Stegostoma tigrinum: one gene and its partners. The protein of the gene in region 1 interacts with the protein of each later gene in a pairwise test. Links are inferred from orthologs where the notes say so. Each region holds a gene or a part of one and is shown in the gene's direction. Other genes may lie near its edges.

Region 1 (8,026 bases):
TAATAACCTGCCTATAACAGAGGGACTAGAACTGGACACAGTGCTCCAGAAGAAGCCTCACCAACGACCTGTACAACCTCAACATGACGTCCCAACTCCTACACTCAAAAGGTCTGAGCAATGAAGGCTAAAAGCCTTCTTAACCATCCTGTCTACATGAGACGCAAACTTCAAAGAGTTAAGCATCTGAGCTCCTACCTCTCTCTGTTCTACAACACTGCCCAAGTCCTGCTCTTGTGTATTTTCCCCAGATGCAATACCTCATGTTTATCCAGATTAAACTCCATCTAGTTGGAAATAGTTGGCTAAAAATAATGTCCATTTGTAAGGGCTTTCTTATGGACTTTCAGAATGCATTTGACAAAGTTCTTCAAAGCAGATGTTTTCAGATGAAAGGCAAGGAGATAAGGGCAACTGGGCAGTAGAGACTCATGGCTCAGTGTCAGGAAGCAGTAGGTGGTTTAAGGCTATGGTTTTTCAGTATGCAGTGGTGGTTTGGATTTTGCTCTGTTGCTCCACACTTTACACACAGAAGGGGCGATCAGGTTTCCTAGTGATATCAGCGTTGTTAATGCAATAGGCGGTGATCAGGACAGGCCTCAGGCTCAGTGAGGCCACATCCGGGAAGAGAAAGGTTCCAATCCTCACAACCCTTCACCTCCCCCGCCACAACCCGCAAGTCCTTGAGGACTCGCCTCCGAGTGAACTTGCCAAAACTCCGCCGAGGGAATCTCACCTCTGTTTCCCCTCAGCCCTCCATCCCACCCTCCACCCTCCCCGCAATGTCGAACACAGGGTCCTGAGCCCCACTTCCTCTCTCTCAGCACTGTCTGGATGTCTCCACGTCACACAGCTCACCATCCCCCACCCCACCTTCTCAAGGCGGTTGCGGTGGGGAGCTCTTCGCATGCTGTCTGACCTGCTGTGCTTTTCAAGCTCCACACCCATTGACTTCGACACATCACCTTGTTCCCTGGCCAAAATCTGTGCCTCAGGCTTCCTGCAGTGCTCCAGAGAAGGTCAGCACAAGCTGGAAGAGCACACATCATTTTCCACTTGGGAACTCTAGCTTTCTGCACTCAATATCGAGTTCAACAATTTTTGGGCTTGAGGCCCCTTCTCCCGTGTCCTTACCCCAAACCCCACACACCAGGCCTTGTTATCACATGGTCTGCTCAATCAAACTACCAATCGTTAGCTTCTAACAGTCCCCATTAGTAACTATTCATTCTCCCAAGTTGACTTTTATCCACTCCTTTGCCTGCCCAACTGTTTTTCTATCTCGGGCTATCATTTCCTCGCCCACCTACGCACTTTTCTGGATTTAAAAAAAACATCCTTTTCCTAGTTCCCATGAGTTCTGAAGAAGAGTTAACTCTGATTTCTTTCCACCGGGGCTGCCAGACCTGCTAAGTTTTTGCAGCCAACTTCTGTTTTTGTTTCAGATTTCCAACGTCTGCAGTTCCTTTGGTCTGTTCGATTGATTTTTTTAGAATTGGTGGGCTGTGCGTAGCCAGAGTGCAAGAAGGAAAGCGGCTGCAACAGAACCATTTCTCTGGGATCTTGCTGCTCCCTTCCATTGCCCCAGAATTTGAGGGGGGGGGAAGCGGGGGTAGGGAGCATAGCAGCAGGAGTGGCAGTGCCCTTGCACAGTTGAGCCACCCATAAACACCGGAGCCCCCACCCACACCCCATCAATTCCCCTCACACCTGGACCCTCAACACCAGACCCCGTTGACCACACGGAAATCTATTGTCGACTTGTCGGAGCACACCCTTCAACCAGACGGAATCAAAGTTCTCAGCTGAGGGCTCAATTTCTGCCCCGCTACCAAAACGGACCCCCCTGGTCTTGTGGCAGACACGGAGGAATTCATCAGGGGGCTGAGGCTCTGGGAATTCTTCCTCAAACCCCGAGATGTCAGCAGTGAGCCCAAACAGACAACCAACAAACCGGAACACAACCTTCAACTGAACAGACTGATCAAGACCTTTGATCCAGATCGTCTGATTATCCTATGCACTATCATCCTGCGCATTTCTCATGTTGGAGAGTTCTGCTGCCTTCCAAAGATACAAAAGCCAATACACCTGGACGTCCCATCGTATCAGGCAATGGGACCCTGTATGAGAACCTCTCTGGCTATGTCGACGGCATCTTGAATCTCACTGTACAAGGAACCCCCAGCTTCCGCCACGACACGACAGATTTCTTACAGAAACTCAGCATCTACGCACCAGTCAAACCAGGAACATTCCTTGTCGCAATGGATGTTTTGGTGCTCTACAGCAGCATCCCCCACGACAAAGGCATCACTGCAACAGCCTCAGTACTCGATACCAACAGACACCATCCTACAACTCATCTGTTTCATCCCTGACCACAACGTCTTCACCTTCAACACCCTGTTCTTCATCCAGACACATGGAACATGGGGACTGTACGTGCCAACGTGTCAACATTTTCACGCACAAGTTTTGAGCAAGACTTCTTTGCCGCACAGGATCTCCGACCAACGTTACACACCAGATAATTGATTACTTCTTTTCTTGGTGAGGAATCATGAAACAACTACATTGTGATATCGACAAGTTTCATCCCACCATCACACTTACAATGGATTACTCTTCAGAATCAGTCTCATTCGTGGACACACACATCTCCATCAAGGACAGATACCTCTATCTTATTCAACTGCAAGCCCATGGATAACCTTGTGATTCTGCACTTCTCTAGGTTCCACCCTAAACATATTAAAGAAGCTATCCCCTACGGACATACCCCGTGCATACACAGGATCTGCTCAGATGAGGAGGAATGAATCAGACATCTAAAGGTTTTGAAAGGTGCCCTCATAAGAATGATACACGATGCTCAACTCATCGACCATCAGTTCCAACGTGCCACAGTGAAACACCACAATGACCTCCTCACAACACAAACACAGGATACGACTCAGAAAGCACCCTTCATTGTCCAGTACTTCCCTGGAGCGGAGAGACTCAGAAAGCACCCTTCATTGTCCAGTACTTCCCTGGAGCGGAGAGACTCAGAAAGCACCCTTCATTGTCCAGTACTTCCCTGGAGCGGAGAGACTCAGAAAGCACCCTTCATTGTCCAGTACTTCCCTGGAGCGGAGAGACTCAGAAAGCACCCTTCATTGTCCAGTACTTCCCTGGAGCGGAGAGACTCAGAAAGCACCCTTCATTGTCCAGTACTTCCCTGGAGCGGAGAGACTCAGAAAGCACCCTTCATTGTCCAGTACTTCCCTGGAGCGGAGAGACTCAGAAAGCACCCTTCATTGTCCAGTACTTCCCTGGAGCGGAGAGACTCAGAAAGCACCCTTCATTGTCCAGTACTTCCCTGGAGCGGAGAGACTCAGAAAGCACCCTTCATTGTCCAGTACTTCCCTGGAGCGGAGAGACTCAGAAAGCACCCTTCATTGTCCAGTACTTCCCTGGAGCGGAGAGACTCAGAAAGCACCCTTCATTGTCCAGTACTTCCCTGGAGCGGAGAGACTCAGAAAGCACCCTTCATTGTCCAGTACTTCCCTGGAGCGGAGAGACTCAGAAAGCACCCTTCATTGTCCAGTACTTCCCTGGAGCGGAGAGACTCAGAAAGCACCCTTCATTGTCCAGTACTTCCCTGGAGCGGAGAGACTCAGAAAGCACCCTTCATTGTCCAGTACTTCCCTGGAGCGGAGAGACTCAGAAAGCACCCTTCATTGTCCAGTACTTCCCTGGAGCGGAGAGACTCAGAAAGCACCCTTCATTGTCCAGTACTTCCCTGGAGCGGAGAGACTCAGAAAGCACCCTTCATTGTCCAGTACTTCCCTGGAGCGGAGAGACTCAGAAAGCACCCTTCATTGTCCAGTACTTCCCTGGAGCGGAGAGACTACGCCATGTACTTCACAGCCTTCAATATGTCATCAATGACAATGAGTATCTTGCCAAGATGCTCCCTATATCTCCACTTGTCACCCTCAAACAACCGCCAAACCTTAAACAAACCATCATTCACAGCAAACTATCCAGCCTTCAGGAGAACATCAATCACAACGCCACAATACCTTGCCAAGGCAACCTCTGCAAGGCACGTCAGATCATTGATATGGATACTACTATCACACATGGGAACACCACCCATCGTATACACAGCAGCTATTCATGTTACTCAGCCAGTGTTGTGTACGTCATATGCTCCAGGCAAGGATGCTCCGAGGCAAGACTATGCAGATGCTACAACAACGGATGAATGGACACTGCAAAACAATCGCCAGACAGGAATGCTCCCTCCCAGTCGGGAACACTTCAGTGATCAAGGAAATTCAGCTTCCAATCTTCAGGTGAGCGTTTCAGCCCCGCCCCTAGCCCCATCTCCGGGTAATGACGGGCAGCTACCCAGACCAATCAGGAAAGAGATGCCGCGTCGGGCAGGGGGCACGGACGCAGTGGCGTCATGCCGCAGCCCGGGTGAAGAGCAGTTTGCAAGGAGGAAGGAAGCAGGGCCGGGAGCGTGCGGTGTCGCCTTGGCGACGGGGCCTAGTCGGTCTGGTGGAGGCCCGGCGCTGGACGGAATGGTCAGTTGATGGGAGGAGAACGAGAACGGGATTGGGGCGGGGAGAGCGCGAAGCGCCGCGCGGTCGCCATGGACCGACAGTCGGGTCAGAGTGAAGAAGGGGGGGGGTGGAGGTGGATGCTGGCAGCCGGTGAGAGCTGGACCAGCAGGCCGCAGGAGGGGGATGTGGTGCTGGCCGTGTCATTGCACTCGCACACACATCACCATCAGAACAGCAGGAGGCCATTCAGCCCATCGAGTCCCGGACCTGATCAGCCTCAAATTCCAATTCGCTACCTTTTCCCTGGATTTCCTTCCTGATTTAAAGCACATCTCTCTCTGCGTCAGCCCTCTGCGGCAAACAACCTCCCTCTGAGAGAGGAAATTCCTCCTCACGGCCGTCTCGAATGTGTGACTACACCCCTCCCCCTATCACTCTGTGGTGGCGTCCCTTTGCTCCAAGTCTCTTCCAGAGGGCAGGCCTAGTCCCACCTCTACATACACCCAGAACCACAGCCATGTGGTTGACCCTGAACACATGGAGAATGGAAAGAGAAAGTGAGCCATTAGAGATGTACAGAACAGAAACAGACCCTTTGGTCCGCACCGACCAGACCCATCCCAGTCTGACCTCGTCCTGTTTGCCATTATTTGGTCCATATCCCTCTAGACCCTTCCTCGCCATATACCCATCCAGATGCTTTTAACATACTGTAATTGTACCAGCCTCCACTGCTTCCTCTGGCAGCTCATTCCATACACGCACCAACTTCTGTATGAAAAAGTTGCCCCTCAGGTCCCTTTTCAATCTTCTCCCCTCTCACCTTAAATCTTTGCCGTTTGGTTTCGGAATCCCCTGCCTTTGAAAAACGACGAGAATTGAATGCGGTATTCTAAAAGTGGCCTCATCAATGTCCTGTACGGCCACAACGTGACCTCCCAAATTTTGTACGTAATGCACTGACCAATAAAGTCAAGTGCCAAATGCTTTCTTCACCACCCTGTCTGCTTGCCAGTCTACTTTCAATGAACTCTGAACCTGCTCCTCTTTGTTCGACAACACTCCCCAAGCATTTCAGTCCTGCCCTGATTTGCCTTACCCAAAAGCAACACCTACATTTATCTCCATCAGCCACTTCTCGGCCCGAGGAAGGGTCTAGGCCCGAAACGTCAGCCTTCCTGCTCCTCTGATGCAGCTTGGCCTGCTGTGCTCATCTACCTCTACACCTTGTTATCTCAGCCCATTAGCCCATCCATCCCTCCAGTAGATGCCTATGTGTAACTCATTCTCATGAATTTGTTATTTCTTCTGCACTGTCGCACTTCTGTGATGTCTTGTTTATCTTGACGCAACAGGAACGGTTTCCTGGCCCTGCGTCAAAATCGATGTAAGACTCAGTCAGGGCTCCTCTGTATTAACATCTCTTAGGAGTGACAGTGTGTCCCTCAGTACTGAACTGGAGTCCATGTTGCATGGATTTTTGAGTTTAAGTCCTTATTGAGTGGGACTTGAATCTACAAGAATTCTGCTTCGGGCAAGAGGGTACATCCAGACAGCATCTTGTGGGAACAAATGGAAAATAAATTACAGTTAGTGTTGATTTGTTAAAAGGCAAAAGTATGTGATAAACTTGAGTGTTCTTTGGTCAACTGGTGGGGAGATTGAGGGTGCTGCAAGTATATATGGACTTTCTAAAGACACAGGGCAGAGGTGATTAAACATTCAGGATGAATATTTTCTTCATAACAGCTTTAACAACCCTGCAATTTATCAACAGAAGAAGTTCAAAAACAATGTTGCTATGTTTAGAGGCAGTGTGTACCCATGCGTTTGGAAAGATATGGAGGACTTGCACAGGCATCAGAAGAGACTGACAAGTATGGTATCTGGCTTCTGTGGACAAATCAGGCTGGCCAGTGTTTATCGCCCATCCCGAGTGGCCATTGAGAAGGTGGTGGTGAACTGCCTTCTTGAACTGCTGCAGTCCGTCTGCAGTGGGTTGACCCACGATGCCGTTTAGGGAGGAAATTCCAGGATTTTGACCCAGTGGAGGAACGGCGATATATTTCTAAGTTCAGGATGGTGAGTGGCTTGGAGGGGAAATTGAAGATGGTGGTGCTCCCATATATCTGCTGGTTGGGAGTTCAGTTATGTGGAGAGACTGTTGACTTCATTCGTGATGTTGATAATCATGAAGTATTATTTTGGATGAGAGATATATCTTCAGTGGCAGTAACTAAGCACAAGCAAAGGTACTGATGTGCAGCAGCTTGCGAGACCTTGAGGGGGGCCGTGTGGAAGCAGATTCAGTAGTAGCAATCAAAAGAGAATTGGAGGAGGACTTATACAATTAAAAGTAGGGCCTTAGGGGTAGTGCTATAGAACAGAGAGACGTAGGAGTTCAGGTGCATAATTATTTGAAGTTTGTATCACATTAGACAGGGTGGTTAAGAGGCGTTTATCACGCTTGCCTCCGTTGCTCAGACCTTTGAGTATTAGAGTTGGGACGTCATGTTGAGGTTGTACAGAACATTGGTGAGGCATCATCTGGAGTACTGTGTCCAGTTCTGGTATGTATTCTGTTATAGGAAGGATACTATTAAGCTGGAGAGGATTCAGAAAAGATTTACCAGGATGTTGCCAGGTATGGAGCGTTTCAGTTGTAAGGAGAGGCTGGATAGACTGGGACTTTTTTTCACTGGAGTAGAGGCGGTTGAGGGGTGACCTTTTTGAGGTTTATAAAATGACCAGCGATACAGATAAAGTGAATAGCAGGTATCTTTTCCCGAGAGTGGGGGATTTCAAAACTACAGGACATATTTTAAGGTGAGAGGAGAAATATTGAAAAGGGACACAAAGAGCAATTTTTTTAATAAAGGGAGTGGGAAAAGCTCCTTCCCCTTAGGTAGGGTGTGGTCTTTAGGACAAAGTGCAGCCACTCGTGTGTGGAATGAACTTTCTGAGGAACTGGTGGATGTGGGCACAGCTATAACATTTCAAAGACATTTGGAAAAGTACATGAATAGGAAAGGTACAGAGGGATATGAGCTAATCGCTGGCAAATGGGACTGGCTTGGTTTGGATTATGGTCGGCATGGTAGAGTTGGACCAAGTGTTCTCTTTCCATGCTGTAAAACTGTATGACATGAAGGGAAAATGTTTGTAAGGCTGTACGGCTAGATTCACTAGAAATCCAGCACAGGGTTGATGGGCCAGCCAGCGTCCTCTATATGCGCTAAAATATGTGAAGGAAATGTTCAAATTGGCCAAGTGGTTTTGCTCATTCATTTAGACAGGCAGAATGGTGTTGTTTGTCCACTCATATACTTGTCCTTGTCAGTGACTGTGTGGGGTTCCAGGAGACTGGACTTTATGTGCTAGAGCGTGAAGTTCTGGTTCTTTAGGGATAGATCCCACTTTGTCGTGGACACTGTGCTTTTCCCAACAGTATTCCCTGGACGCACCAA
Region 2 (7,972 bases), on another chromosome or scaffold:
CAGGAAGGGTGCAATGATAATGGTGGGATTGTACAAGAGACACCCAGCTGCCAGCGGGAAGTATAGGAAGAGATATGTGGACAGGTTGTTGTGTAGGTGATTTGGTATTTCTTTGGGTATTTCACTTCCAACTTTTTTTATTATATTAATCTTATAACAAAGTTTCTATAAGGTCACTTTATTTTCCACACTGGAGATTAATTTGGCCAGGCTATCTCCACTTGTCTTTCTCAAAAGAAACTGGCCCAGATCTCCCAGAGAAACATTATCCCAGAAACCAACTAAGCTTCTGAAACAGAGAACTTTCAAATAAACACAATATTATTATTTCTGATGTATCAAAAGATAACCAACCTCAGCTTGAGGTTTAAACCTTATAGCTCAAAGCCAACCAATGGACTCTAAATGACATATTCTTCCATCTTTCTTTGTACTTGACAGCATCCCATTTGGCTTTCTACGGTGGGAGTGTCCAATTGACTGCACACAGGCCAAGTACTTAAGGCCTTGCCATTGCTGTTCTTCTCCGGTTTTGGAAGTAATACATTTTCTTCCTTTAACTCAAGAAAATCTTCTGATTTTCTCCTTACTGCATAAAGTAAAAAGTAATTAAATGCAACTTTATTGGAGAAAGTTTTAACCTGGCAGTAAAGAGAACCAATATCTCTGTTGTGGTTATGAGAAGGGTGAACAGATGTGAGCCAGCTCCCCCCTCCACTTCTCATCCAGCTGTAAGTTCAATACCCCATAGGAATGATAACACAAGATAATACTTCATACTGTACCCTCAATGCAGTGATGAAATATCAGCCTTGATTGTCTGTTCAAACCTGTTCTACAGAGTGGTGCTTCAGCTCACAGCCACTGCCTCAAAGGAGAGTGTTCCACTAAGCTAATTCTCAAATTGGTTCCAAATGATGCTCCAGCAGTCATGGAAAAAAATCTGTAATCATTTTCTAAAATTGAAGGATAGTTCCTGCCAAAAGCATGAGGAAGAAAATATTTGAATAACTTAATTTGCTGGACTTACTTGTTTCTAACGACAGTGCTGAAAAAAAATTACAGCTTTATGGCTTTTTGATGTTTTACTCACACCTTGTCGCTTTTAATTTTTTTTAATTTAGTGGATACTTGATTATAAAAAGTTTAACAGTTAAATTGGTATTGCACCTCAAAAGCACACCCCTTTGGGAATACTGCTCCTCTAAATGGTGTGATGTTATAAATTCACACTAGACACAACATCTAGTTTACAGATGTACAGTATAAATTAGATTTTAAAAAATCTTGGAGATTCTGATTTTATACACCAATTCCACATCCTGAGTTATGAATTTATAGAAAAAAGTTCCAACAAGCTGTTTTCAGAATGCACATATTGGAGTTTTTAAAAACTGGCATTATTAAATAAATGTGATAATGCGAACTGCAGATGCTGGAGAATCCAAGATAACAAAGTGTGAAGCTGGATGAACACAGCAAGCCAAGCAGCATCTCAGGAGCACAAAAGCTGACGTTTCGGACCTCGACCCGTCATCAGAGAGATCCTCTCTCTGATGACGGGTCGAGGCCCGAAACGTCAGTTTTTGTGCTCCTGAGATGCTGCTTGGCCTGCTGTGTTCATCCAGCTTCACACTTTATTATCATTATTAAGTAAATCATTGCTCTTAAAGCTGCATTCAATTAACATATGTTTGTATGATTTTTAAAAATCTAAATCAGTTTTCCTACGTCGACAACACATCCTTCCAAAGTAACCCAGTCAACATGTAGGCATATAAGGGGCAAACCTAATTCCCTCAAAGAGTGGCAGAAAATTAAAATTATTAAACTGTAACACATAACCCCAACCTACTAGCCCACATCAAATTGAATGTAGGAACATTTGGTTACCTGCAAGTAACCTGATCACCGCAAGTAAGTCAAATCATTATTAAATGGTAATGTGAAATGAATTGTAATTCATCAGGATTTCTGAACTTAAAATATCTCCATCATAGGATTACCAGGCAAAATTAAACTCATTAGTGAAACATATGAGTTGAAAGCAAGTGAAGTTCCAATTGCCCAATATAACTGAAGACTCTGTGTTTGAAGCTGCTTTTTCAGTTCTCTGAACCAAAATGTTTTATAAATGTTCTTGAGATTATAGCTGTTTTTCAGAAGTTTTTAAAGCTTTCAAATGGATTTCAGGAAAGAGAATGGCACCATGGATGTTTCAAAATTATAATTAGCTAAACATAAAGAATCCATCTGAGGAAGGGTCACTCGACCCAAAACATTAACTGATTTCTCTCCACAGATGCTGCCAAACCTGCTGAGGTTTTCCGGCGGTTTTTATTTTTGTCTCCGATTTATAGCATCTGCAGATCTTTTGATTTTTATAAAAAAATCCTTTCCAGGTGTTGATTCCCCAAGGATCCCATATAATACTCCAACCATTTTATCCAGGTTGATAATGGCCACGTAATATATGTAACTGGACTAGCAATCCAGAGTCACTAGACTCAGGTTCTGAGACTATGCATTTGAATTCCACCGTGGCAGGTGCCAAAATTCAAATTTGATTACAAAAATCAAAAATTAGTCTAATTGCAATTATGTAACAATCATTGTTTGTCATAAATACCCATCTGACTCATTAGCATCCTTTAGAGATGGGAATCTGCCATCATCACCCATTCTAGCTTACACGAGACTCCATAGCCATAACTTTTAAGTGTTCGGTGAAATTGGCTAGCAAGCCAAACAGTTCAAGGGCAGTTAGGGTTGGGCAAAAAGTGCTGGCAGAGCCAGTGATGCACAGATCCCATAAATCAATAAATAAAAAGTCTCTTTCCCAAATTTTTAAGTTAACAAAGTCCTTACTGCTGATGATACTGCTTTTCTATTGCATATAATGTGTAAAGTGTTTACTAGAGGAACCTTGCAAAGGAGCCTTTTAATAAGTATCCCATATATTGTAAACTAAGCATCAGATGGGAGTCAGTGTTGTTTTATTCTATCAATAAATTTTAAAACAGTGTACCTTCTGTAGCATATATTACATGTGATGCACTCTGGAACACAGGCCAAGCATAATTGCTAGCCAACATTTGTCACAACTGCATTGACATTGATAGCCTTCCAAATGCCCAGTGATTTTACAGTGAGCTTAGAAAAAAGTAAAATAAAAATCAACATCGGATTTAAATAAGTTATTTTAATTAGTGGTATGCTACATTTGAGTTTTCAAAGACAGCTAGAAAATGAATTTCTTGCATTAGGCAATTAAAAGTAATTTGTGCGAGGACCATTTTTTGAATTGTTCATGCAGTTTGGATATTTAAGATTCTGCACAATGCCAACTTGATCAAATCTGTGCCTGTTAAGACACATATTCTAGTCAGCTTATTTTCAGAACAGAATTACATAGAAAGGCAGCAGAAACCTGGGAGTGGTCAGGAGTATGGAATTTACTAAAGTAATTGATGAAAACAGTAAGGATCAATTTAACTTAAATATAAGTTTGTGATATATTGAAAGGGTTAGAACTAGTTGTGGGGACATAGGAGGGAGTTTGTAAGCAACATTAAGACTAGAATGCAGTAACCAGTTGGGCTGAATGAACTTAGGAGCTATACATTCTGTAGTTCTGGAATGGTTAGGGGATTTCAGCAGAAGATATGGTCAGAAATGATCAGATGTCTCAACAGATGGTGCCAGACCTGCTGATAGTTTCCAGCAACTTGTTTTTGTTTTTTTTTCACTTTTTATTTGGTAAGAACATTATTCTGGAGAATTACAAAAATTAGTTAAAAATACACATCTCATCCAAATACAGAACTCTAATAACTTGTCATCGACATTTCATTCACTTCTTTTTCATACAACTTCACACAATACAGATAAGTAACTCCTGAATATGTTTTTTTAGGACTCAAAACTGAATAAAACGAACGTACTGACAAATATGTAAAGATTGATGAAATTTGTCACTTCAGTTTGAGTACTTTGGCTAAACATTTCCATTCGAGAGTAATTATACTAATTTGTTGGGAGAGCTTTATTTTCCCCTGGAGAATAAACAATTTTTAAAAAAATTCAACATAAATAGTATCATAAAGTAAGGTTTTGGATGGCAGACACAGAACTCCACAGAAGCTGTGATAGTGTTAGGGTTTTAAGGGAAACTACTAAAAGGTTTCCAGTATCATTTTTAAATCTCTACCTCCTTACAGCATTTCTGCATTGTTAAACAATGTGCTTAGAAAATATTAAGTCAATACAGCACTTTTCTCTGCCCAGTTTAGTGCCTTCCGCGCCCATAAGAACATAGAACAATGCCCACGATAGCCCACGATGTTGTGCCGACCTATTACCCTAGACTAAGATGAAACTACTCTACGTTCTACTATAAGTAATAGCAGAACCAACAACTGCAGCAGAACTTCAGTTATCATAATGTTTCTGTATTTGTGTATGAAATCTGTTCTGCCTCGGCTGTAGCACGAAATCCTGCTATCTGTGTTACCTGTGCTGCAGTGCCACCAATCCGAGGGCGATAACGTGGGGCACGTCCAAGTGAGTCGGCCACTCGCCAGCAGCGACACAGCCAAACACGCCACACTCCTCCCGGATCCCCGATTCTTCAAACTCCATGCCAGTTCCACACTAACTACCCCAACGAAAAGTGAGTGAACAAAACCCCAGCCCACCCACTACCAGGCTAACTATTTCAAAGTAATACACTCACTCCCCGCTCCTCATTATCTAGCTCGTATTCTTTTTCTCCCTAGCTCCCAGGAGTCAACACGTGCCTCACTAAACCCGCCACCACCCCCACATGTCACGGACCTCTCCAAAACGTTGAGGGTGTGCAAATTAATTAGATAAATGCATGTAAATAATTTTTCGTTGTTTTTAGAACTTATCATATGTGAACGTTAGAAACTGATGATCAATTTGTAATATGTATAATACATACATATATATTTATATATATACGCCGTCCCTTCTTTATGCAAACGTGTTCCTTTCATTGCAGACTCTTCACCACCCCCCTTATCCCTCTCGTCTTGGTACATCTCATTCAAATTTCGGAACGTTCTAAAACCGAACGCGCGGCTGTTAGAAGCACGAGATCGTGAGAGGGGCCTACGGTAGGAGATTCTGGCCTGGTGTGTGGGTACATAGCTATGAGGTCCTCGGGGTAGCGAAATATGGAGACAGTAGCGGACGTGTGCGGGGTAGAGGAGGAAGTGGGGTATCTGTGGAGGGTGGGCAAACTCTCGCTGGGGAAAGGCATCATTGAGGTGTACCCCGGGGTTGGTGGAGAGGGAGGCTTGGCGTGCATTCCGTGGAAAGCACATTGCGGCCTGTTGTGTGTTATGTTTTTCTTCTTTAAAGAATTTAAATACTTTTTTTGTTTTAAAGTTGTAGATTTGCAAAGTTTTCCCAAGATGGAGAAGTTTGGAGGTAAGTAAAATTTCCAAGCTCCCTCTTGGATTAACCGCGACCGCTTTTACTTGACGGCTCTACCACAGTATTTACGGTGCTAAAATCTCGCAAAGAGACAGTTTCGAAACTGTACCGCATGAAAGAAAACGACCAGTACACCCTCGGTTGGAATTGTATTGTTGCTATTCATCTGTCAGTGCTTCCGAGATGAATTTCTTTTGTTGAACCTCAGTAACATGTTATGACATTCAGCCTTGTGATTTTTTTTCTTTTAAAAAATTGCTTTTTTTTCTGGTTTTAAACCAGTCAACAATTTAAAAATGTTCAGTGGCTTTAAAAGTGAATGATTTCACGTTTTAAATAATCCTTTTATTTTCCGAAGAGCTGAAAATTGGAAAAAAACTAAATGAAGGAAAAACCAAGGAAGTATACGAACTGTTGGATTGTCCCGGGCAAGTTCTGATTCAGTCCAAGGACCAGATTACGGCTGGAAATGCAGTCAGGAAAGACCAGATGGTGGGCAAGGCTGCGATATCTACTAAAACCACTGTTTCTATCTTCAAACTGCTGCAGGATGCTGGTAAGACTTCTGCTACTGACATCGGGCAGGATATGTGCATCTTCTGTAATATTTGTGTTCATGCTTTTTTCTTTTTAAGGCATCAAAACTGCGTTTGAGAAACAATATGGGGAAACAGCATTTGTGGCAGCAAACTGTGAAATGATTCCTATTGAGTGGGTTTGTAGAAGAATTGCCACAGGCTCTTTTCTGAAAAGAAATCCTGGTGTAAAGGAAGGATACAAGTTCTGTCCTCCAAAGATGGAGATGTTCTTTAAGGTAGTGTAACATGTTTGCTGCTATTAGTTTTGATGTGGTTGAGGTGTTAATAACCATTTTCTAGTTGTGTAAACAAAACTTTGCTTTTCCATCCATCTTTAATATCCCTTTGAAATCACTAATCATTTCAGCTTCTGTACTTTTTCAGCTGGGGTCTTGTGTCAAAACTCTGTCTGCCATATTACATACAGTGGGTCAAGAACCACCGCTTTGGGCTTCATCCTGTCCACTAACATGACAAACTCTTCAGGTGGTTGCACAATGATGCAGAGTTGGGGGGGGGGGGGGGGAGCGGTGCGGTGAAGAAGAGAAAGAGAGTTGCCTTTTTGGAATCTGAATATTGGCAGTGAACTTGAAGTCTCATGGCATCTGGACAAACACTGATTTGGAAAATGTTAGGATGACCAGCATTGTGGAGCCCCTGGCTCAGTCTGTGTTCCTCAATTTTGAACACTTTGAAAGAACTAATGAGGGTGGTAAGGGCAGAAAATGTATTTTGGTTGGGAGCTGTCATATTCAAGGGCAAGATTGGCAAGTCTGCAGCTTAATGAACCAATGAAGGGGAAGAAAACTATTTTTAACTTCCTCATTAAATGTTAATTTTGTCATGTATCAATCCATAATGGTATTTTTGAGTGACATCAAAATGTCATCTGAGACAAAGTCCTGTCATCGTGTTTGAGGATACTGTCCAACATGTTGTATGATACCAACACTGTGTGCTAAAAGGAACAAAAACAGAAGGTGCTGGAAAAGCTGAGAGTCAGGCAGCATCTGAAGAAAACAGCAAAGTTAATGTTTCAGAGCTGGTGACCTTTCCTTTTAGAACCCTAAAAGGGAACTTGGAACACTTGGGCAACTTCATACTGAGCACACGTGAGCCCATCAGGAGAATTGTGGTGGAATACAGTCTGTAACCTCATGACCACAATGTACCTGTATCCTACCATTTTCATTCAACCTGGCTCAGTGGTGTGTGCGTGCGTGTCCTTATGAAAGAAAAAGATTTTTAATCTGGAGCTGCAACACAAGGCTAGTTGCATATGAAGCAGACTGGAGTAAACAGCTTTTTCTTTGCAACAAACTGATCAAGTGTCAGCTAGCATTCCTGCCAATTCCCCCCTCAAATGATTCTGAGCAGTTAAATGACTAACAAGCTCCCTAAATGTCCCCATTCTCAATGATGGGGAAGCCTCAGCTGCCTTCTAATGGCTGAAGATTAGCATCTTTTGATATGGGAGACATATCTAGCACAAAGGAGGATGGTTGGGGTTGTGTGAGTTTAAAGACTTCACTGCAGAAGTTGTTTCCTCTGGTGTCCCAGCCCTAACCATCTTTGGTTACTCCCAGCAGTGACCTTCCCTCCATCACAAAATCAAATGTGCAAACTTTCCAAAATGTTTAATGCCATTCAGGACTCTTCTGATACTGAACAGTCCATGTACACTTGCATCACAAATTGGATAACCTCCAGCCTTGAGCTGATAAGTGGCAAGTAACATTTGCACCATGCACAGCTATCAACCAGAGAATCTGATGTTGTTGATCCTTGATGTTCATACCATTGCTGAATTTCTTTCCCCACTTAATACCACCGCCACTGTCTCCTCCCCAGCTTCTCCCACCGCCACTGTCTCCTCCCCAGCTTCTTTCCTCTTCTCCTCTCCCCCCCCCCCCCCCCCCCAAATTCAGGGT
Region 3 (7,957 bases), on another chromosome or scaffold:
AGGATGCCAAGAGGCAATACCAAATTATACTTGACATCCAGACCAAACACACAGACACCTGTCATTTGTGGCAAGGCTTACTTGACATAATGGCCTGCAGGGTGAAGTCAAACAGAATTGTAGGCAACAGTACATTCTTACTCAATGAACTCATTGCATACTACACTCACTTTGAACAGGAGTTCAGTGAAACTATGTCACGTATCCCAAAAGCCTCGGATACCCTTGTACCCACCTTCACCTCTAGAGACGTTAGATCGGCCTTCTTGACAGTATTCCCATGGAAAGCGACTGGACCACACAGAGACCCCAGCCATGCACTTAGAATCTGTGTGGACTAGCTGGCAGAAGTATTTGCATGTATCAACCACTTTCTGTGGTGGAGAAGTTCACGCTCACCACTCTCTGGGTGAAGAAATTACTCCTTATCTCAGTCCTTAATGACCTACTCTGAATCCTTAGACTGTGACCCCTTGTTGTGAAAACCCAGTCATCAGGATCGTCTTTTCTACGTTTACCCTATTTATGAAATCTCCCGTCATTCTTCTAAACTCCTGTGAACATAGTCCTAAATATTTGAGTCTCTCTTCATTCATCAGTCTTTCCATTCCAGGATTCAGGCTGGTAAACCTTCATTGCAATCTGTCCATAGCCAGAATATCCTTCCTTAGGAAAGGAGACCAAAGCTACACACAATAATCTCACCAAAGTGCTGCACAATTACAACAAGACATCCTTACACTTATACTCAAGTCCTCATGCTATGAAACTAACTTACCATTTGCCATCTTCACCACTTGCTACACCTAACTGCTTATTTTCAGTGAGAGGTGTACGAGGTCTTGTTATAAATTCTCCTCTCAACACTATACGAGGTATTGTTATAAATTCTCCTCTCAACGCTATCAACATTATACTTCATCTGCCCACTCATATGATTTATCCAAATCATATTGAAGCATATGTGCATCCTCCTAACATTTCATCCTCCCACATAGCTTTACTTGGAGGTAAGATATTCAGTTTCCTCATCTAATCATTGATGAACATTGTGTATAGCTGGTGCCCTAGCACTAACACCTACAGCAGTCCAGTAATCACTGTTTGCCACTCAGAAAAGAGATCCATTCATTTCTACTCTTTATTGCCTGTCTTTCAACTTGTTCTCTACTCCTATCAGTACACTAACTCCCAACCCATGTGCTTTAATTTAATATGCTAGTCTCTTTTGTAGGACTCAGCAAATATCTTCTAAAAATCCAAGTAAGTACTGCCCTTCCCTTAGCAACTTGACACATTACATAGAATCATAGAGTATTACTATACAGAAGGAGGCTACTTGGTCCGTCATGACTGTACAGGTTCCTGGAAGAGCAACCTAGCTAGTCCCATTCTCCTGTCCTACATCTGTAGCCGTTTAAATTGATCTTCAAAAAAATTGCAAATGATTTGTCAAGCACGATTTCCTTTTCATAAATCCATACTGACTCTGTCCAATCCTGTTACAGTTGTCTAAGTGCTCTGCTGTTAAATCTTTTACAATCGACTCTAACATTTTCTCTACCACCAATATCAGGCTAACACTCCAGTCTATGGAATCTATGGAGTCTTGAAAGATGACCACCAAAGCATCCCCACTTTCTAGGGCCACTACCTTAAGTAATTCAGGATTATCAGGTCCTGATGATATGTTGGCATGTAATCCCATTAATTTCCTCAACTCCATTTCCCTCCTAATATTGATTTCCTTCAGATCTTCTCTCTCACTGGATCGTGTGTTTCTCAATGTTTTTGAAACTAGCGAGTTTTGAGAAGATTTGTAGCTCAGGTTTGCAACTTTATTTGAGTCCTCCCTTGGAAAAACACAACCAAAATGCATATTAAATTGGTCTGCCAATTCTTTATGGGCAAATCATAATTATACTATCTGTCACAAATCAATCTCCGTACTTCAGACAGAAAATCAAACTGGATGCATGAAAGAAGCAATTTGTGAGGTACTGAGTTACTTTAGAATTCTAGAAGGCCAAAAAAGAATAGTACCAAGCAGGTACTTTTTTATTCCCTAGGTCCAATAGCAGATCATGTTTTAAAATGATAAAGTGGAAGAGAAGAAAGTTACTTTTGATAACATTGCAGATTTACTAGAAAAATACAGCTTCCGGGAATACCTGTTGACTACTTTGTTAATGATCTTTGTGAATTTTATTGTTATTTACAATTAGTACTGATTGAGACAGAATTGTCGTCAGAGTTTCTGATTGGTTTCTTTCAGATATGTTACAATCGAAAAAGGAACTCACATTAGAAAGAACTATCCAAGTCATAGTTGCAGCTTAAATCTGAAAACAGCACAAGTGATGAACAGGAACAGAAAGTCAACCTCGTTTAAGGAGCTCATCAGACATTGTCAACTTTCTAAAGTACAAAAACACCAAAACATTACATGATCGTTCAGCACAAAAGTACTTAAATAATTTGATGCTAGATCTCACAGTTTGAGATGCAGAGTTAAATCATGACACAGATAAAACAATATCTGCTTTAATCATACCAATGCAACTCTTGTAAGAAAGTGGGCCAATTTCAGAGAATGTGCAAAGTTAAAAACATCAGATATCTAACAGTGCTTACTTGTACAAAGTGGTTAACACCTTACACAAGAGAACATCTTTGGAAGAAAACCCAGATGAACCAGACACACCTCTGTTAGAATGCATTCCCTTCTATGATGATATACCACTTTTGAATGATGCAACAAAACTATGCTTAAGAAATCTGAATCAGATATTATTTTAGATCATAGATGCTAATGATCTTCAACTGATATCAAACTTGGTACCAATGTGAGTGTTATTGTATTATCCCTACAGTGATTAAGCAGGCCATTTGGCCCATCAAGTCCACACTGACCCACCCTCTATCTTATTCCTGCATTTCCATCCTAGATGCAATGGGCAATTTAGCATGGCCAATGCAGCTAGGCTGCATATCTTTGGACTGTGGAAAGAAACTGGAGCACCTGCAGGAAACCCACAGAGGCACAGGGAGAATGTGAAGGCTCCACACCTGAGGCTGGAATCGAAACTAGGTCCCTGGTACTGTGAGGCAGCAGTACAAACCACTGAGTCACTATTACCACTCATTATTTGAAACATCTCCTTGGTCGATGAGAATGAACCTACAATTTTCCTCACAAAGAACAGCATAGCACAAGAACACCACTCAAAATCAAAGGAATTATGAGTGTTGTCAGAGAACAGCCTGATGAAGGGTTCCAACACGAAATGTCGATTTTCCTGCTCCTCTGATGCAGCCTGACCTGGTGTGTTCCTCCCATTCCACACTGTATTTACTCTGCAGTTATAGCTGTTTCCTAGTTGCTGAGAACAGTTGTCATATTCATTGACGGGATATGGGTGTGAATGCCTGGACCATTATTTATTGCCTATCCCTTTGTTTAATGTCTTTATTCAATCACAGGCTGAGGGCATTGCTGGCCAGCATTGATTGTGCATCCCTAATTGTCCAAAGGGAAGTTAGGAGTCAACCACATTGCTGTGGGTCTGGAGTCACATCTGGGCCAGAACAGGTAAGGACGGCAGTTTCCTTTCTTAAAGGACACCGGTGAACCAGATGGGTTTTCCTGACAATCGCAAATGAACTCATGGTCATCATTAGACTCTTTAGTTCCAGATATTTATTGAATTCTGCTGTGGCAGGATTTGAACCTGGGTCACCCAGAACATTACCTGAGTCTCTGGATTAATAGTCCAGCAATAATACCACTAGACCTATGCGTCCCCCTCATTTTTCTGGCCCTTTTTTCTGACAGTCTGGAATCACATGAGGAAAGGATGTTAGATTTCCATTCCCACAGTACATGAATGAACCAAATAGATTCTTATGACAATTGACAGTTGTGACACTCTCACCTTTCGGCTAGTTTTTCTTTTATTCCACATTTTGACTGAATTTAGCCTTCACCATCTGTCATTGTGGTATATGAAATCTTGTCACGATCCACGTTCCTTTCTCTCTATCGTCCTTCTTTTCCTCGCTCCCCATTTTTACTCACTGTCTCAATCCCGCGCTCTCCCACTAACCCCTCTCTTTCACACCTGCATTTCTCCACCATGTCTCTCTCTAACTCTGTGTAGGTTACATGGGCTTGAGATCAGTATGACAGGTCGGCACAACATCGAGGGCCGAAGGGCCTGTACTGTGCTGTAATGTTCTATGTTCTCCTTCTCCCCATAGCTACGTCTCTCCCTGTCTCTCTCTCTCTTCACCCACCTCCCCATCTCTCCTCCCTCCCGCTCTCCCGCTCTCTCTCTCCCCTTACTCATCTTTCTCCCTTTACTCTCTTGTCTCCAACATCAGCACCACAACAGCAGCCTCACAGAGGCCCACACAGGATTGGCTGGAGATGCATGTCAATCATAACGTTTACTGATTACTATTGGCGAAAACGCCGCATGGGCGGTGTCCGCTCCCATTGGCCGTCCTTTGTCCATTGTGGATTGGTCGTTATCTATGTCCATCAGATGGAGACACAGTTATGATTGGTTAGATAGGGGAAACGAGGCGGGGGAGGAGCTCTGATTGGTGCTCGGGCTGGACCCGTTGACGTCAAGGACGTGGTGCCCCGCCCCTGCTGTCAGGGCCCGAGCAGCAGAGGCGAAGGGAACTGGCTTGAGAACCTTCAAGGTAGGGGCGGGGGTCGATATTGGGACCGGTCGGTGACTGACACTATCTCCGGGTGTATAGGAGCCCGAACCATAGAGGCTGGGGACTGTTGTAAGGACTGGGTAAATAGGAACGGGGAAGCGGGGATTGACAGCTGGGACCGGGAGGGAGGGAGAGAGATACACCATCACCGTCAGAGGGACCGGGAGACGGTCGGGCAGGACCCGGCCATGGAGAGAACATCATGTGGGGTCGATGACCAGTCTCTCTCGGGCAGGGACGGCTCGTTGCCACAGCGACACTGTAGGGAGGGGCATAGTTTAAATCACTGCATGAGGGGAGGGAGAGGAGACAGCCTTGTCTTTCGCCCTCCGGCGACTCTAATGGCGGCAGGAGGATGGAGAAAGAGGGAGGTGTCCCTGAGGTAGGCCAGGGTGGGTACCAGGAAGTGTGAAAGGTGTTAGGGAGGGTTGGGAGGTTGTGACTGGAGGGGAAGTGGGAATTGTGAGTGGGGTGGAGGGAGGGCGGTCAGGAAGTGGGAGAGCGTGATTGGGTTAGGGGAAGACTCTGGACTGATAATTGGCTAACAATGGAGCTGGATAGAGCAGTGTGTTGATTGGAGAGAGTGCAGTGCGGGATAGATGATTGGGAGGAGACAAGGATAAAAAGGGGAAAGCCAGACTGGCTATGAAATTCATGGACTTTCCTTGTTTGTCTTGGAGCAAGGTTAATAACAATTAAGCCTTTAACATTTTTTAATGTAATTGAAATCAGATGGCATGTGATAACGGTATGAGTGACCAAGTCTTAGTCAAAAGAAATGTTTTAGGGAGTGTCATAACTGACAAAAGGGATCTTGAGAGGGAAGATGGGGTGAGAGGGCCTAAGCAGCTGAAACTGTAGGCATGAATGGTTGAACCATTGAAATTGAGATACTGAAGATTGGGGGGTTGGGGGAGTGCAGCACAGATATTTGTGTGGGACTAGAGGATGCTGCAGAGATGAGGGGAAAAACCATGGAGGAATTTGTAAGCAGAATGAGAATTTTTAAAATTGAGATTGCTTGACTGGGAGTCTGGTATAGGTTGGTGAACACAGGATGTATAGGGACCCACAATGATATCAAACTGCAGTTGGGAGCTTATTTGGTGGAATTTATTGACCCCAAATGTTTAGACTGAAACAGTTCCTTGACCAATTAAAGAAACAACTACTCACCCCAGTGCTGGATATTGGATAAAGCCAGAAGTCACATGACACCCTTTATAGTCCAACAGGTTTATATGAAATCACAAGCTTTTGAAGTGCTGCTTCAGCAGGCGAAGTGAGTAACAAAGGATGATGAACGAGCAGTGTTCCAAAAGCTTGTGACTTCAAATAAGCCTGTTGGACTAAACCTTGTGAACTGTATCTTCTGACCTAGTCCACTCAGTCCAACACTAGCATCTCCATATGATTGATATGGGATAAGTCTGACAGGTTAACAACAGTGGAAAATCTAGGAGAATAGCATGCATGTGAAAACTAATGGTATGTCTTCAGATGGTGTTGCCATGAGGCTCAGGTTGAACCCTTGTGGGACACCAGAGGCCATGTCACAGGAGAGATAAACAAGATAACAGTTAAGTACAACTTTGTCAGAAGTTCAGATTGATTCTGTCAGAAACTAGTATGTTTTGGCTGTGGATGTGCTCAAGAACACTCACCTGTTAACACCCATTTGGGCTAAGGAAGTTCTTTACCAAAATCTAAATCAGAACACGCTGTCTGTGTCCACATTTCCTATTTTGCTGATATTGACAGCTCGTTTACTATCTTAAGTGAGATTCTGGCAATCTCTTAAAAATATTGCTGTTTAGAATGCACATAAGCAACAAAAAAGGGCAATGCGATGAAAATTTTAGAATAATGAATGGTTTTGATTGTGACTCTAGGTTGGTAACCAAAGAACTTACAAAGATTGAATATTTTCACAAGAGGATTATATGTAATAGGTAAAATAAGTCTAGCCCGGGGGTGAAGATTGTGGTACAAATTAGATAGCTGTACCAAAATGTTAACACAGATAATGGCTGTCTCTGCAAAATTTTACCCCATTATTTCCATATTCCTTTATTTCATTCCTTCCAATTTCTGCCTTGAAATTGTTGAATGGTTGAACAATCAGGGATTCCAAAGGTCAACTTATCTGTTCTTACCACCAATTTTAATTGGTGTCAGCCATTGTTTAGAAAAGCACATTGTGTGCCCAGTGCAGCCAAATTGCATATTACTGCATTGTTTACATTTCAAACATTTCCTCAACTACAGTAACCTTGTCATTCCTGTTTGATTTCTGGTGAACACCATGTTGTGTGTCGAGTACATAATTGATACTAGTGGTCAGTATAGATATTTTCTAATCAAGCTGTTTGGAGATGTTATTGCATGCCTCTGGAGTACATGGGCCTTGAACCTGGGTTCTGGCTCAGAGGTAAGGATACTAAATGGCTGTTATAGATTAATGCTGTTTCCTTCTCATTCATTAGACTTATAAATTGATATACTTGGTGACACCTCCTAAATAGGGCACTTGTAGAACTCTTTTCATATTGGTGACGCTTTTGGCAACCCAAGATTACTGGATTGTTTAAAATAGGCACTGAGAAAGGTAACAGGGAGGCTACGGTTTTGGTGTCAATCTTCTCATGTGTTTCCATCAACTGTATCGAGCAAGTAATCTGGAGAACCCTGCAACGTCATTAGAATTTACCAATGTTTATTTCTTTGATATGACAGGTTAACCAGCAGCTGGCTTTTTACACATGCTGGGTGATTGGGTGTACTGTCCTTTCGACAGCATGTGCTCTCTCTGGTTTCATGCTGATTTTTATTTGCATGGTTAGTTTAGAGGATGTCAACCAATCTCCAAACTAGTGTCCCTTCAGTCAAGGGACAAGTGATGACAACCTCCTCTGAGTAATGTCAAAAAATGCCTGGTTTGCTCTTCTAATTCGAATACTGTGGCTGAAGAGAGCAGAATTAGATGAATTGGATCGGAAGTTGGCTTGCTGAAAGAAGACAGAGGGTGGTAGTTGATGGGAAATGTTCATCCTGGAGACCAGTTACCTGTGGTGTACCACAAGGGTCGGTGTTGGGTCCACTGTTGTTTGTCATTTTTATAAATGACCTGGATGAGGGCATAGAAGGATGGGTTAGTAAATTTGCAGACGACACTAAGGTCGGTGGAGTTGTGGATAGTGACGAAGGATGCTGTAGGTTGCAGAGA

The links.
Region 2: the proteins of nudt18 (region 1) and paics interact in binary tests that used the Homo sapiens proteins (3 or more experiments, as listed by UniProt). The two-hybrid records come from large-scale screens. The link is inferred for Stegostoma tigrinum from reciprocal best matches to the Homo sapiens genes NUDT18 and PAICS.
Region 3: the proteins of nudt18 (region 1) and EVI5-like protein interact in binary tests that used the Homo sapiens proteins (3 or more experiments, as listed by UniProt). The two-hybrid records come from large-scale screens. The link is inferred for Stegostoma tigrinum from reciprocal best matches to the Homo sapiens genes NUDT18 and EVI5L.

What each region holds. Positions count from the first base shown.
Region 1 is NC_081393.1:15,506,211-15,514,236, forward strand, and holds the start of nudt18 (8-oxo-dGDP phosphatase NUDT18), read left to right. Parts: upstream 1-4,461; 5' UTR 4,462-4,580; intron 4,581-8,026. UniProt on the Homo sapiens protein: Mediates the hydrolysis of oxidized nucleoside diphosphate derivatives. Hydrolyzes 8-oxo-7,8-dihydroguanine (8-oxo-Gua)-containing deoxyribo- and ribonucleoside diphosphates to the monophosphates. Hydrolyzes 8-oxo-dGDP and 8-oxo-GDP with the same efficiencies.
Region 2 is NC_081354.1:109,761,349-109,769,320, forward strand, and holds the start of paics (multifunctional protein ADE2), read left to right. Parts: upstream 1-4,656; 5' UTR 4,657-4,672; exon of another isoform or gene 4,673-4,810; intron 4,811-5,026; 5' UTR 5,027-5,141; exon of another isoform or gene 5,142-5,159; intron 5,160-5,415; 5' UTR 5,416-5,441; coding exon 5,442-5,457; intron 5,458-5,821; coding exon 5,822-6,019; intron 6,020-6,098; coding exon 6,099-6,277; intron 6,278-7,972. Other genes in the region: ppat (amidophosphoribosyltransferase), read right to left, coding at 4,514-4,641. UniProt on the Homo sapiens protein: Bifunctional phosphoribosylaminoimidazole carboxylase and phosphoribosylaminoimidazole succinocarboxamide synthetase catalyzing two reactions of the de novo purine biosynthetic pathway.
Region 3 is NC_081388.1:1,813,772-1,821,728, reverse strand, and holds the start of EVI5-like protein, read left to right. Parts: upstream 1-4,641; 5' UTR 4,642-4,710; intron 4,711-7,957. UniProt on the Homo sapiens protein: Functions as a GTPase-activating protein (GAP) with a broad specificity.